4 linked regions of the Saccharomyces cerevisiae S288C genome follow. Changing the gene in region 3 together with the main gene of any one other region gives a genetic interaction. Each region holds a gene or a part of one and is shown on either strand. Other genes may lie near its edges.

The links.
Region 1: mutations in YBL086C (region 3) and MAK16 together harm fitness less than expected from each alone (positive genetic interaction), as found in Saccharomyces cerevisiae (one large-scale study listed by BioGRID).
Region 2: mutations in YBL086C (region 3) and MVD1 together harm fitness more than expected from each alone (negative genetic interaction), as found in Saccharomyces cerevisiae (one large-scale study listed by BioGRID).
Region 4: mutations in YBL086C (region 3) and PDP3 together harm fitness more than expected from each alone (negative genetic interaction), as found in Saccharomyces cerevisiae (one large-scale study listed by BioGRID).

The regions. Positions count from the first base shown.
Region 1 is NC_001133.9:99,725-103,463, forward strand, and holds MAK16 (ribosome biosynthesis protein MAK16), read right to left. Parts: upstream 1,422-3,739; coding exon 501-1,421; downstream 1-500. Other genes in the region: mitotic regulator LTE1, read right to left, coding at 1,841-3,739.
Region 2 is NC_001146.8:700,135-704,113, reverse strand, and holds MVD1 (diphosphomevalonate decarboxylase MVD1), read right to left. Parts: upstream 2,220-3,979; coding exon 1,029-2,219; downstream 1-1,028. Other genes in the region: AGA1 (Aga1p), read right to left, coding at 1-415; COQ2 (4-hydroxybenzoate octaprenyltransferase), read left to right, coding at 2,455-3,573; MRX15 (Mrx15p), read right to left, coding at 3,654-3,979. UniProt on the Saccharomyces cerevisiae protein: Diphosphomevalonate decarboxylase; part of the second module of ergosterol biosynthesis pathway that includes the middle steps of the pathway. MVD1/ERG19 converts diphosphomevalonate into isopentenyl diphosphate.
Region 3 is NC_001134.8:60,174-64,197, reverse strand, and holds YBL086C (uncharacterized protein), read left to right. Parts: upstream 1-1,595; coding exon 1,596-2,996; downstream 2,997-4,024. Other genes in the region: BOI1 (Boi1p), read right to left, coding at 1-322; 60S ribosomal protein uL14 RPL23A, read left to right, coding at 3,459-3,500, 4,005-4,024.
Region 4 is NC_001144.5:1,051,660-1,055,257, reverse strand, and holds PDP3 (Pdp3p), read right to left. Parts: upstream 1,630-3,598; coding exon 715-1,629; downstream 1-714. Other genes in the region: YLR456W (pyridoxal 5'-phosphate synthase), read right to left, coding at 1-188; FMP27 (Fmp27p), read right to left, coding at 3,374-3,598. UniProt on the Saccharomyces cerevisiae protein: Histone-binding component of the NuA3b histone acetyltransferase complex. Targets the NuA3b HAT complex via histone H3K36me3 to the coding regions of actively transcribed genes to coordinate transcription elongation.

The sequences.
Region 1 (3,739 bases), on a different chromosome or scaffold from region 3:
CCAGTAAATTATTGCTTGGCGCTAACCTCTATTTGGCGTTACTGGCTTCTTGTTGCACTATTCCCCTTAGAATTGCCAACAATTGTTGATTATATGTTTCTTCAACTTAGTGGCATTAAACAGATTTGGGTTTTCTGGCAAAAAAAGCCAATCACGTGATCAGGAAGATTTCAGTGATTTACGCTTCAAATAACCTTTACCTCAATAATCCCGTAATAGTAAGCTTCTAATAGTAAGCTTCTAATTTGCAATGTTATTAGCCCAACAGCTACTAAAGGTATTATTTTTTTTTTTTTTGATAAGAAATTTAAGTGTTACAGAATGGGCCATCTTACAAAAATAATAGTCTTTATGTATTTTTATATATGTAAAAGAATTGAAATATTTTATAACTGGTTGTTATTATGGTACAGTGCGCTGCCCAATCCACGTGGAAAAATCCTGTTCATTCAATAATAGAAACTGAAATCATGTAATGTTGCGTAGTATAGTGCGTGAGCTTATTGTGCCACTTCTTGCTCAGCATTTTGAACTTCGTGTTCCTCCTCGTATTCGATTTCGACTTTAGGACGTTTAGTTTTGGCACTAGTTCCCTTCTTACGTCTCTTGGCTGAATTCTTATTTTCTTCATCACTATCGCTGTCGCTCTCGCTTTCACTGTCGCTTTCGCTTTCACTGGCGCTGGAAGCTTCTCTGTCAGAGTCAGCTAACCACTTTTCTAAGTCATCCACGTCAACGTATTCACCTTCGCCATCATCTGCAACGTATTCAACTTCCCCATCATCACTTTCCTCTTCTTCATCCCAGTCTTCTTCCTCGTCCTGAGAATTCTCCTCTTCCATTTGACCCATTATCTTCTTCCAGACCTTTTCGTCAACATTTAATGGTTTATCACCGTAAGCACCACTCTTTAATCTGTCCATCAATTCTTTTTCGATGGCTTTTTCAATCTTGGCAGCTACCAATGCCTTTCTCTCCCTGTTTTGTTCTCTTCTTTTGACCTTTGGTGCTACACCAACGTAGTGTCTCTCCTCCTCCCTTAATGCTAAACGTCTCTCTGTTATCATGACCTGCGTCAATTTTGTAAATCTCTGTTTACACTTATGACGGAAAAACTTGCTCCAATGTAGTAGGTGTTCGTCGATCTGTTGTAAAGCCTTCGTGTAATTTTTGGATAGTTTGATTCTTTCCCATAACTTGGCAGGAGTGTGCGCTCTTTCAGGCGTCTTCATATACAAGTACAGTTTCCCATTGTCACACTTCACTGTTGCATACTTGGAGTTGGCAAGTGGGCATGATTGCCTTGTACACAACCCAGTGACGTTATACTCATTTCTGCAAAAATTTTGACCATTAGGTGCCTTAATTCTATGAGAGCAGAAACTTTGATTAATCACTTGCCAAACAATTTCGTCGGACATATCCTCGTTGTATTCTAACCGTTGTAGTTATGTACTGAAGAGAACACTGTCAAAAGAAAGAACTAAGCAATGCAATATCTGCCTCTATACCAATCACTTTTTCATTTTTTTTCAAAAGCTCATCGGAAAATTTTTCAAAAAAAAAAAAAAAAAAAAAAAAGGTTTATTACCCTACTGCATTTTGATAATCTGAACATAATGAGCTAATGAAAGCAATTCTCATTTAAAAACAAGTATTCTCTCTTATTGAAGTATGCATTATCTATCATTATAAATTCTTTTATTCTGTTCGAGTCCATGTTTTTAAAAAAAAAAAAACATGTATGTATGCTCCATCTATATATGCTCCATCTGTATATTTTATATGCAAAGTTTTTTACAAGAGGAATTTGGGAACTGGAGGAAAGTGGCACAATACCTCATGTGGATAGTTCATTAATCTCTTCTTGTGTTAATGTGCTAATATAAACACACTTACTCAGCAATTCGTGGTTAACTTTGAAAGTGTAAAACTTGGACCATTGAACCCTTTGAATGAAATTCTTGACTATTTGAACGTTCGTATCGAATTTATTGTAATTCACTACTTTATCTTCTAAGATCCAGTCTTTCTTCTCTGCGTTTGCTGATAGGTCCGAAAGATATACGACGATGAAAGGGACGCAACCCACCAGTGGATTCACAGAGTTAAGTAGATTTCTTATTGTAGAATAATTCCTGTCTAGCGAGGGAATCTTCTTTAGCTCTTCCCAAGTCAGTAAGTCGCCTGGTTCAATCAGACGCCATGCATCAGTGAATTTTTGAACAACTGAAGAACTTAAGGCTAGAATGATTTCCATCAATGTGTTAAAGTTCTGAAATGTCCTGCAGTGGTCTGCAACGTGTATAAACCTTTGAATGACATTTCTTTTCATTTTGCTGCTCTTGGTAAGAAGTATTTCTGATATAATCCAATCCACAGTTAAGTTAAATCTGGATATAGCTAAATCAATGCCAGATAAGGTCTCGTTCCTTACTAGTAGTTGCAACCAACTTATAACTTGTGGGCCTTCATGCTTCATCTTTAAATCTAATAAATCTTTCCAGTCTATTTCTCCTAAAATTTCCTTCTCTATCAAGGTCATTTGTTGCGCTACAGACAGGGAATCGTACATTAGTATAAATGGAACGTGACTTTCATTATTAGAAATCATTAATCTCGAATCGTGAATCCTGTATTGACCGATTAATTCCTGGATTTGCGCCGCTTGCACAGCAACATCAACATTAGCTGACACGTCTATTTTTTCAGGAGAGGAGGAAGTAAAGCCTTCCTTCTCGGATTGATCTGGAGTAAAGGGGATATTCATTATAGTTTGTCTCCTTCTTTCTATTAATAACGATTTTCTTTTTTCTGCGGGGCTATTTTGGAATGACGGCAAGTTGTTAAGGTTTAGCATTTCCACTTCATCTGCTAACTTGCTCGTTTTAATTCCAATAGCGTCACTACTCTTGGTGTTCTCTGGTTTTTCGGGAATTTTCTCGTATGTACCTTCCAGTTTCATTAATGCCACGGTTATTGGATCGTCATTAATTGAATCATCGAGCATATTAGCAATTTCATTTAAATTTTTCTTATTCAAGGAGCCTGTAAAAGCCGACTCAGAGTTTGCTCTCCGTGTGTTCCGGGCACTAGATGTGTCATTAATGTCGATATCGTCCATTGTCAATACACTTCCTGATATGTTACTATTAGTTTCACTCTCGTTCTTCAGAAATTTACTTTTCAGCTCTTCAACGTTTTTCATTGGAGAAGCAACGTCAATGCTACCGTCATCTGGTGAAAAAAAATACTTGTTGTTTTTCGCATGGGTACTTGGACTTTCTAGGTCATTATTGGAATCGCTTAAATCAATTGTTTTTAACTCATGCAATGAAGAAGTATTTGAGATTATATCTTGATTACCCCTTTGATATTCTTCTCTCAAATTTATTATCCTTTGGTGTGGCACTGGTAAATCTCTGGACGTTTCGAAAGTTTCAACTGTGCTACCAGTGGTAATCGAATTCAAATCACTTACAACAGATTCTATTGTGGGTGCTATGGATAATCTGATTCTATTGGTTTCACTCACGCTGGTCCCGTTGGGAAATTCTCTCTGTGGATTTTGAGTTTGTTTTAGAGGACTATTCTGAGCAGATTCAAAAAGCTTGCTCGTTGAGATACTGATAACGGTGGACGATGTATCAGAGTACAACGCGCTTTTTTTATTATATTCCAGGTTGAGAGGTTCTATTTCACTTATTTCCTCTATAACTGAGTTTGACTTGTTTTGCTC
Region 2 (3,979 bases), on a different chromosome or scaffold from region 3:
TTGTGTGACAAGTAGGGCAAATATATGAAGTGAACTTGGAAGTCACAGATAAGGTGGTGGTTGGCAACGTCGATGACGAAGGACATGCCTCATGGGAGCAGACTTCTGTAGATAATGTCAAAGTACTAAATCTGGATAGGGTAGTAGCGTACGATATTGAAGGACTTATTTCGGCAGCAGATGAAGTGGATACCGTCAATGGACACCAAGTCGTATACAATGTCGTAGTGCCAGCTTGAACGATAGTGGATGTGGAGACTAGCGCGGGTGAAACTGTAGTTGTAACAACCCCATTTGCATCGTTTGTCTTGGTTATCGTCACTAGAATCGTTTCTGGATCAGATGCCAAGGCAATATTAGTTAATCCCAACAATATTGTGAACAGGTAGGTAAAATGAGCGAAAGATAATGTCATCTGAAATTTTTTGGTTTTTTTAGCTTTTATTGTTAATGCTCGCCGTTTTTCAAAGATGAACGTAAATACTGGAAAAGTTCACGATAATTATTGATGATAGATCATTATTCTGCGCTTATATACGTTTTAATTGCTTGCTGGGAACTGCTTATTTGCGATAGTCGCTTGTTTTAAGTCATTACTATGTTTTAATATTGTTTCAGAAAATTATGTTACAGCCGCGTTTTGACTTGAAACGTGCAATATCCAAAAAGAGACTTTACAATTGAAAGCTAACCTAAAATTTGAGAAGATATGTGACAGGTACCCTAAATGTAGATTGGGTGGCTGCTGAGATCTTTAAGTATGAAACGGGTGGACGTACTTGTGCTAAGTGGTGCTGTTAGACAGCTACGAATAAGGAAATTCCGAAGCATGTAGGGAGGTCATGATATGAAAAAGCAAAAGAGTAGGCATCAAAAAGTTTCTCATTCAAGTGGTAACTGCTGTTAAAATTAAGATATTTATAAATTGAAGCTTGGTCGTTCCGACCAATACCGTAGGGAAACGTAAATTAGCTATTGTAAAAAAAGGAAAAGAAAAGAAAAGAAAAATGTTACATATCGAATTGATCTTATTCCTTTGGTAGACCAGTCTTTGCGTCAATCAAAGATTCGTTTGTTTCTTGTGGGCCTGAACCGACTTGAGTTAAAATCACTCTGGCAACATCCTTTTGCAACTCAAGATCCAATTCACGTGCAGTAAAGTTAGATGATTCAAATTGATGGTTGAAAGCCTCAAGCTGCTCAGTAGTAAATTTCTTGTCCCATCCAGGAACAGAGCCAAACAATTTATAGATAAATGCAAAGAGTTTCGACTCATTTTCAGCTAAGTAGTACAACACAGCATTTGGACCTGCATCAAACGTGTATGCAACGATTGTTTCTCCGTAAAACTGATTAATGGTGTGGCACCAACTGATGATACGCTTGGAAGTGTCATTCATGTAGAATATTGGAGGGAAAGAGTCCAAACATGTGGCATGGAAAGAGTTGGAATCCATCATTGTTTCCTTTGCAAAGGTGGCGAAATCTTTTTCAACAATGGCTTTACGCATGACTTCAAATCTCTTTGGTACGACATGTTCAATTCTTTCTTTAAATAGTTCGGAGGTTGCCACGGTCAATTGCATACCCTGAGTGGAACTCACATCCTTTTTAATATCGCTGACAACTAGGACACAAGCTTTCATCTGAGGCCAGTCAGAGCTGTCTGCGATTTGTACTGCCATGGAATCATGACCATCTTCAGCTTTTCCCATTTCCCAGGCCACGTATCCGCCAAACAACGATCTACAAGCTGAACCAGACCCCTTTCTTGCTATTCTAGATATTTCTGAAGTTGACTGTGGTAATTGGTATAACTTAGCAATTGCAGAGACCAATGCAGCAAAGCCAGCAGCGGAGGAAGCTAAACCAGCTGCTGTAGGAAAGTTATTTTCGGAGACAATGTGGAGTTTCCATTGAGATAATGTGGGCAATGAGGCGTCCTTCGATTCCATTTCCTTTCTTAATTGGCGTAGGTCGCGCAGACAATTTTGAGTTCTTTCATTGTCGATGCTGTGTGGTTCTCCATTTAACCACAAAGTGTCGCGTTCAAACTCAGGTGCAGTAGCCGCAGAGGTCAACGTTCTGAGGTCATCTTGCGATAAAGTCACTGATATGGACGAATTGGTGGGCAGATTCAACTTCGTGTCCCTTTTCCCCCAATACTTAAGGGTTGCGATGTTGACGGGTGCGGTAACGGATGCTGTGTAAACGGTCATTGTGCTGGTGCTCACTGTCTGGGAATTTTCAATCTTGCATCACCATTACCAGCACGATGGATGCTCTTTATATATCAATCTTCGAGAAAAGGCTAAACGAGCCATTTCGGCGATTTCGGCATCGTGGAAAAGTTTCACAAGAATCAGGCCAAAATTAAAAGTAAGGTTATCAGAAGGGCGGAGTATACTATAGATTACAGTAGAAATAACTGTCGTAGAATAACAGTGTCAACTAATGTTTATTTGGCAGAGAAAGAGTATTTTACTAGGGAGGTCCATTCTGGGCAGCGGCCGAGTTACCGTTGCTGGAATCATTGGAAGCAGCAGAAAGAGATATACGTCTTCTTCCTCCTCCTCCTCCTCCCCTTCCTCGAAAGAATCAGCACCTGTGTTTACGTCGAAAGAGTTGGAAGTTGCAAGAAAGGAAAGATTGGATGGACTGGGACCGTTCGTGTCTCGGCTGCCTAAGAAATGGATACCGTATGCGGAGCTGATGAGGCTAGAGAAACCCGTGGGCACGTGGCTGTTATATTTGCCCTGCAGTTGGTCTATACTTATGGGAGCCATGATGCAAGGTGCTACATTGAGCGCAACAGCTGGTATGTTGGGTATTTTCGGTGTAGGTGCATTGGTAATGAGAGGTGCTGGCTGCACCATCAACGATTTTTTGGATAGAAAGTTGGATCAAAGAGTTATCAGGTCCGTCGAGAGGCCTATCGCCTCTGGTAGAGTGAGCCCCCGTCGGGCGTTAGTATTCTTGGGGGCTCAAACTCTTGTTGGAATGGGCGTTCTATCTTTGCTTCCTGCGCAGTGTTGGTGGCTAGGCCTTGCATCGTTACCTATTGTGTTCACATACCCTTTGTTTAAGCGGTTTACGTACTATCCTCAAGCTGCATTAAGTGCATGTTTCAATTGGGGAGCGTTACTTGGGTTTCCTGCCATGGGTGTAATGAGCTGGCCTACAATGATACCTTTGTACCTGAGCAGTTACTTGTGGTGTATGACTTACGATACTATATACGCACACCAGGATAAAAAGTTTGACATCAAGGCTGGAATCAAGTCTACCGCTTTGGCTTGGGGTCCACGCACAAAGTCTATCATGAAGGCCATGTCCGCGTCTCAAATCGCACTGTTAGCTGTCGCCGGCTTGAACAGTGGGTTGTTATGGGGGCCTGGGTTCATTGGTGGACTAGGAGTCTTCGCTTATAGACTCTTCAGCATGATAAAGAAAGTGGATCTTGACAATCCTAAAAACTGCTGGAAGTATTTTAATGCAAATATCAACACCGGACTTTACTTTACGTACGCCTTGGCAGTCGACTACATCTTGAGACTGTTTGGATTCTTGTAGATATAGCGTGCATATACAAGTGTTTAATTGTTCTTTTATTCGATTATTATTTACATGCATTCTTACGTAGATGTCCGTACCTATTTGGGCTTCACGATATTCTTGATGGATGATCTAGAATTCCCCGAGTGAAATAGGGTCTTGGCAGACGTATGTGAAAGGATCTGAGTTAATATTGACCTGTTCAATAGCTTATTTTCTGCCACACTGTTGAAAAAGCAGTCCAAGATCCTGGCGTCATTCTTCACAACGCTACCAGATCTCGAGAAAATGTAAAATTTATTGAAAAATGAGGGTGCTTTTTCATCCACTGTGAAGAAAACAAAGGTGGCCTTATCCTCCATACCTTGAGAACCTACTCCTGTGAAGATCTTGGTGGCCTTATTTTTAGACAGTTCATTGATCT
Region 3 (4,024 bases):
TGTTACTCGCAGAATCATTTAAATTTCCATATTTAACACCAGAATTTCCACTCTCTTGGGTTGGTGATTTGTGCAGGTTCTCTGGTTTTTCTATTGCTATTCTTTTGGTAAATACCGCTGGGTATAAACCTTCCTCTTTGGTTCTCAAATTGCGCCCATAATACCAGCCGTCATTGTACTCCCCATCATCAGTAATGACTTTAATTTTATCACCTGGTTTCATATTGAGCTCGTCCTCCATTCGTTTAGAGTACTGATTTACCGCAATATACAGAGGAAAAGATTTGGCCCCTTTGCCTAGGGTATTTCCTTCGAGACTCATCTTCTATTTTTTATTATTACAGTGGCCTCCGGTCACCTCGAGTTAGAACTTTGTTGAAATTCAGTAAAACAATTGTTTCTTTAGACAGACGCAGTAAAACTGCTTGATAGAGCGAAGAATTGCCTTTAATTGACGCACCCAATTCTTCGGATGTAAATCAGAAAGTATCCTAAGGGAAGCGTATAGTTTTCAGTTTCTTTTTCCTTTTTTTTTTCGTTTTCTGCCAAATTTTTAGTGCCATGTTATTCATTTACCTTTCACGTCCTTTCGTTTGTTTTGGTACGGGGGAATGTCGTTTCCGACTACGCGGTTTCGAAAGTAGTGCAATGTGGCTGAGCTCTCCCCCCCACACGTGATAGCCTTTCTTACGCGTCAATAGAATAGAAAGCTCACATACTCTTGAATATTTGGTAACATCTTTTGAAGGACAAGTTCATACAATTATATGATATGCTTCAAGTTTTCCAGAAAAGATTTCTAGGCATGCCATACTTCCCTTTTTTTTAATTTTTGTCACGAAATCCTGGTATTTATTCTTGGAATGTATTTTTTTCTTTTGAAACACATTACCAACTCTTTTCAAAATCTCCAGGAATGGCAGAGAAGAAAACAAATTTTTATCTGCAAAACCCCGGAGAACACTCAAATTCCTAAATCATGACTGTACTGTTAAGTCATGCCGTAGTAAATATTGCACGATATCATCTTGATGTAAACTGGACTTCGTTTAGATCTACCAGCATACCAGCTCTACGTTTTCTGATAATTTAGCTCCACTTCGTTAAAAAAATTTACCGGCTGATAGGGAGAGAGTCACTGCTTCGATAGAGACTTTAATTTTAATATTACTTTCATCTTCATGCGGCTCGGCTCCCATGTATTCACCGCTCGTAGAAGGGAGAAGAGTTGGTAACTTTTCTTTTTCATTTCTTGCCCAAATATTGCGAACATGATAGCAGTTGATGGAAACGTAATCAGTTAAGTGTCTTAATTAGCCACCATTCAGAGGTCTTGGATGCATATATAACAATCTCGGCGGCTAAATCAAGATATTTATTTCCGGGTAAAGAACGCGTGGGTATATTTCTTTTTTTTTTTTCGGGAGAAGTTTTCTCAGGGTCCCCCCCCTTTGTATCTCTTAAGATGACCAAGTACGGTGACAACGGCAAAGCTCACTTGCTAATGAAGGAGTGAACACCTTCTAATTTCATTCAGGTTGCTTAGAAGTATTAGGTACCCAAGAAAGGTATAATACCGCTCACAAAATATTAAGATGCCATTTAATCATAATAGCAAGGCAAAAAGACCAAAGTTTCTACTGGACCTGCAAATCAAAGAATTGGTAAATATTCCTCAATCTTCTGGCTATTGCTACACGAAATGGCGTTTGAAGGATGGAACAGGTACGTCGGGACACAAAGTGGCTCTGGACGGTGAGCATCAAACCACTTCGACCCAGAGTAGAGGTACAACAAAACACGTGCATGTGCAACATCATAGAGCACAATGGAATTATTCATTAGACAAACCAATCCTGGTGAAGCTCCACTTGGATAAAAACGGCAGATTCTTGAAGAAAATTTTGGTGTTGGATGTTTTTTTTGAGTTTGCTGATGCGAATTCCTCGTTGACTTCTAGTTCTAGTCCCAATGGCAAAGTGAAGAAAACGACCTATGCTAACGCCACTGCACTAACGGCCACAGGAAACAATTCATATTCTCAAAAGATAACGGGTAAACTTCTATTGGGAACAGTAGACATAGATATAACAGAATACGTCAAAGAAGACGAAACTCCCACAACAAACAGATTTCTCCTAAAGCACTCAAAGGTCAATTCTATAATCAACGTCTCATTGCAGTTGAAGCTAGTTAGAGGCTCTTACGAAGATTTCAACATTTCCAAATCGTTTACTAATGGCCAGCTCGCTAATTACAGGCCAGGAATAAATACTATACTGGATAACACGTCTGAACTATCTAGCCCCACATCAACAACAAACCAGATGTCACCCAAGAATACATTCTCCAATTTTAACGGTATTGGAACAACTGTAGCGAAACCCGGTACAAATGCGACAGGAAACAGCACAAGTATTAAATCACCGACTTCTACCAACCACAAGAGTAGCGAAATGACAACAAAGCCAGGGCTGTCAACAACAATATCTTCCTCTATGAGCCCACTGATTGAGAGCTTGTACCAGAAAACGTTTAAATTACCGTGGGATCCTCGACCAGGTGAATTTACGCCAAGAGAATGCGTGGAAGATATTTTACAAGGCGGAAACGGTTGGGCTAAGAACGAGAAGGGCATAAATTTAATCGATTTACAGGCATTGAGATTGAACGAAATGGAAGAAGAGTACTACAATCCAAATTATGGCAATAACCTTGGGAACAAGGCAAGTAGTTGGCCTCCAAATCCAAGCGATGACGGCTACAGCACAATGGGCAAAAGAGAGTATTTGGAGAAAAAGCAGAATTGGAGTCATATGTCACGAGCACAACGTGCAAAACTGAGGACTCATAATGACGAGGATAACGAAAATACGGCTAATGATAAAGGGAGCGACAAGGATAATAACTCTGTCGAAGACAATAACCCCACGGACTTTTTAACAGATAGAATAAGAGAAAACAAAAACTGGTCTATAATAACCCCATCGGGCTAGAATATTTGTATTGTTTTATGTAATTATAATCTTAAGCTTGCAATACCAATCACTATTACCATGTTAATGATCCCCCAGATAAAAAGACAAGACAGAGCATATATCAGACTACATTAACATCTGTACACCCCCAACTGCTTTGAAAAACCCATGCAGTTATTATTTTCAACAGACCAAGTTTTTTTATCGCTTATCCGGCTCACAGAACGAGCCGTACAACCGTCATCAGACTTGCATGGAAATGTTGAAAAAGAGGTAAAAAAGAAAATATCAAACCCAAACACGCTCGGGCTGAAAAATTAATATGGCAGGAAACGAACTGTAGCCATAATGTACCTGTTCCCGCTAATAGTAATACCATCGTATTGCTAAGGTTAGTAGCTAAAAATCTCTTACTTTCTTTATTTTGACTCTTAGGTCTTACAAGCAATACAAAACCAACACACCTATATATAACTAATAATGTCCGGTAACGGTGCTCAAGGTACTAAGTTTAGAATCTCAGTATGTTAAAATTTTTATTTTCCACAATGCAATTTGGTTAAATTGATCATAAAGTAAAGTTCCAAGATTTCATTTTGCTGGGTACAACAGAATTAAACAGAGGTTTAAAAGACGCTAAACACTAAGTGTGAAGCCTGATCATATACCTATCGGTGTTATTTTCCATAAGAATGGTAGATGTGCCATCACTGGTACCGCCCCGCCAAAGATGCAATTACACACATAAATTCAGTTTTTAAATGGTTAAGCGGGCTGTATTTGCAGATGAAGTGATACCTGTCAATATTCATGGACTCAAAAATTTCTGGTTTCAAAATCATACACGGCAAGCATATCCTAACTCCCTCTTTTGCCCATACTAATGGATAACCATCGAAATGTTATTTCTACAAAAATCACGCTTAACTCTATTTTTCAAGATTAACCACATCTGCTAACTTTCTCCCTATGCTTTTACTAACAAAATTATTCTCACTCCCCGATATTGAGATCTTTTTTAACTAGTTAGGTCTACCAGTCGGTGC
Region 4 (3,598 bases), on a different chromosome or scaffold from region 3:
ATATAGTCATTACAATCTATTTCTATACTATACTCATGTTTATGGAAAGTTTCCGCGGATGAAACAAATATGTAATGCATCAACGAAACAGATGGTATACAATTTGACGAGCATGTCGCCACATGAACATACTTGGAACTTTTAATCAGGCGTAACAGGTCTTTTGGTATTTGTTCATTGAGTTTCATCTTTAAAGGCTTGAGAGATTTGTTTTTTTAAGGTTTACTTTCCTTTGCAGAATGTTGCATAATTTTCACTATCAATTATACGTTTTTCAGATCAGACGCCTGCAACCCTAATTTTCGCACTCTGAACTTCGTATTTATCGTTTATTCAGTATAGAAAAGGAATATCAAATTTGAAATTCTAGATAATATTTATATATATGAGGTATCTAGAAGTGCGTTAACATTAGTGTTAACTGGGCTGCACCCACTTGTGACGTTTAAATTTCTGTCCCGGGCCTTTATCGTTTCTAAGCGCTTTGGTACGTCACAAGAGTACGCCTGATATTTTGTTGTGACATTACGTGTATGACTTATTAATACAATTTTTATGGATGGATAATTAAATCAATTTAATATTACCATTTGATGAAAAAAAGAAGGGAAACAAAACAAACGGTAAAACACTGTTTATTTGAAATGAAATGAAATGAAACAATATTGGATATTGAAACGTTGATATATTGAATTGATTCAATAAGTATTATTATCAAGGCGTAGGTAGCGCTTGCAACTTTTCTTTCTTCAGTTCTGTGATTAGGTCTGCCCAGGACAGTAAAATTTCTTTACAAAGTGGGTGAAATTCGCCTAAGTCAGGATCATTAACAATTGCTTTCAGTAGCTTGTGTAATTTGCTTTCGCGTAGGGCCTTCAAATCAAAAAAGGGCCGTTTGGTGTCAGAATTCTCATATATTCTATTTAATAGTTCATGAGTTTCCTTGATCTCATGCTCAGTAGGAGGTGTTTCTCTCTGGATTAGATTTCTTTGAATCCTGCGGCGAAATAACTGTGAAATTTCTACTCTTCTGGAATAGTCTAATTTAACTTTCTTTTTATTGCCACTGTTTGATTTTCCTCCCGAATTAGCTGTGGGTCTCTTTTTTTTGGACGGTTTGATGTTCGGTTTGCTTTCTTCTTCATTTGATTTCTGGTTATCTTCCGGATCTTCTTTGATGGATATTGAATTTTTTTTTCTTTTATTCACTACTTTTGTTCGACCTACAAAGGGATCTTCTCCGGCAACGATTTTAGAACCTTCACTTTTCTCAAACGCTTTTAGATCACTTAACCTGTTTTCTTCTTCAAACTTTTCTTGTAAAAATACGTTGAAATCATCAAAATTTTTTGCTTCCTTATAAGCATTGACCAATTCCCTTTGGTTTGCATTTTTACTATGTTCTAATATGAAATTGTGAATGCTGTCTTGATCTAGCTCCTTTAATCTACTGGGTTGTTCCCAATAATAAGTTGGATCGTTGAAAAAACAAACAGCAACACAATTGGATTTTCTCTTTCTATATACATCGTTTCGCAGCAAACGCTGTGGAAATACTACAGCTGGCCAAGGTGGAAACGAGCCAACTTTGCATAACACTAAATCGCCTGTTCTAATATCTTTTGTCATAAACTTGCGGACCAAACCAGGGATAGCTAATATCACAAAAGAAATGGAAGTAAAAACAGAAAAAAATAAAAGGGAAAAAAAGCCAGGAGGAGCAACGACTGTAGGTCCTAAAAGAATGCTTGTGAAACTTCCAATATAAGCTTACCAGTAGTCAACTCACAATATGCAATAACAAATATCTGAGAGAAAAATAGATATGTCCAAATCTCTCTGCAGAACTTAACGAAACGTATATTGATATTTTAGCCCCTTTGATGTATTTTTTACAACAGAAGCAACTTTTGTTTATTTACCATTGATTGATTATTCTAGAAAATCAAAAAAAAAAAAAAAAATAAATAAAATAGAAAAGAAAAATACTATAATTATTACCCGCCATTGGATGTTTCAAAGTTCAATTAAGAACAGCTTACCGTAATGTAAATGGAGAGAGACCTTGTTTCTTCCGTATTGTACCAAACTATCAATCTGGAAGAAATCAACACGCTATTGCAGAGTTTTTTAATTGGGGAAGTTTAAGCCATTTTCATTGATAGGTGGTTGAAATAAGGTTATCATCCAAGGCGACTGATAGGGTTTTAAAATGTCCGAATAGTTTAATTTTGCTGCTACTCACTTTACAGTGCGACGTTATTTCTTTTATCTGTTCATTCCCTGACACACCGATGTAACTCTGAGGATTTATCCTACAAGTTATTTTTGTTATCGGAACATGCAGATTGTAAAGATCAGCTATTGCAAATTGGTGAATACAAGTGCCCTCAGAATCGCTCAGTCCTGCTCACACATAAATGCAGACGTTATTATGCTTTCTTGAAGTAAAAATTGATGATTATTAGTTGAATAGTAGTCGCTTTTCCGAAGATGTTACTTGTTAAAATAAAAATCAATTATAACCTATTGACTAGTATTCTCACTACTAGTATACTGCCATACACAATGTAAAGAGTATAACGTAAATGAGGAGTTGACACGAAAGAATTGATAACGTGATGGTGTTGGAACGAAACCCTATCATCATCTATTGACCAGTGTTCATGTTACAAGTGTATTATCATATGCGGTATAAAAAGACGACATAAAGATTGAGAAACAGTCATCTGACTTAATGGAAGCTGAAATGCAAAGATTGATAATGTAATAGGATAAGTAAGCATATAAAACGAAAGGAAAAATAATTGTAATATTATAGTGCAGGACTACCGATTCCACTTTGAGGATTCATATGTCCTCGAGAAGAACTTCAGCATATCCTGCATACATAATGTTATTGCCTTTATCAACTATGGAATTTTAACAATTATCACAAAATTCACCTAGTTCTCAGATCTTTTTTCCAACGATTACTACTGAGGATTGTTTGCCTTAGTTATCGTTCAAATGCTGTTAGCTATTTCCCTAATTAATAACAAGTGCTTGAGATGTCTTATATTTATACTACAGGTTATGGTTTTCGTGTGACCTTGTTTTGACGTCCTTTTCATGGTCTCTTGGCCCAGTTGGTTAAGGCACCGTGCTAATAACGCGGGGATCAGCGGTTCGATCCCGCTAGAGACCATTATTTTTTTTACTTTAAGTAAATAATGGGCATTACTAATGGAAGACCTATATGATGTTTTTTGTTCTTCGAATCCTAGGTATTTCAATGTAGTACAGCAATAAAGGTCTGAAACATGGTAACATATTGATATGTATGATGCTACATTAAGAGATATGAAAAACTATAAATTTTTTTTGAATGTTTTTAACGAAGTTCTTCAGGCTCCGTGTAGGAATTATAAGTTGTGAGTTGCTTCAGTGGTGAAGTGTCGTCAGCAATTTTATTCTCCTTAGAATTTCTTTTCAATTTATTACCAATAAATCTCCCAGTATGTTTTATTAAAACCTTGATTAACACTTTTTTAAGGGCAAGTAATAGATCTGTGACCCTCAAAGTTTGGTTGGACAATCTTAAAGTCGGGAAATTGAA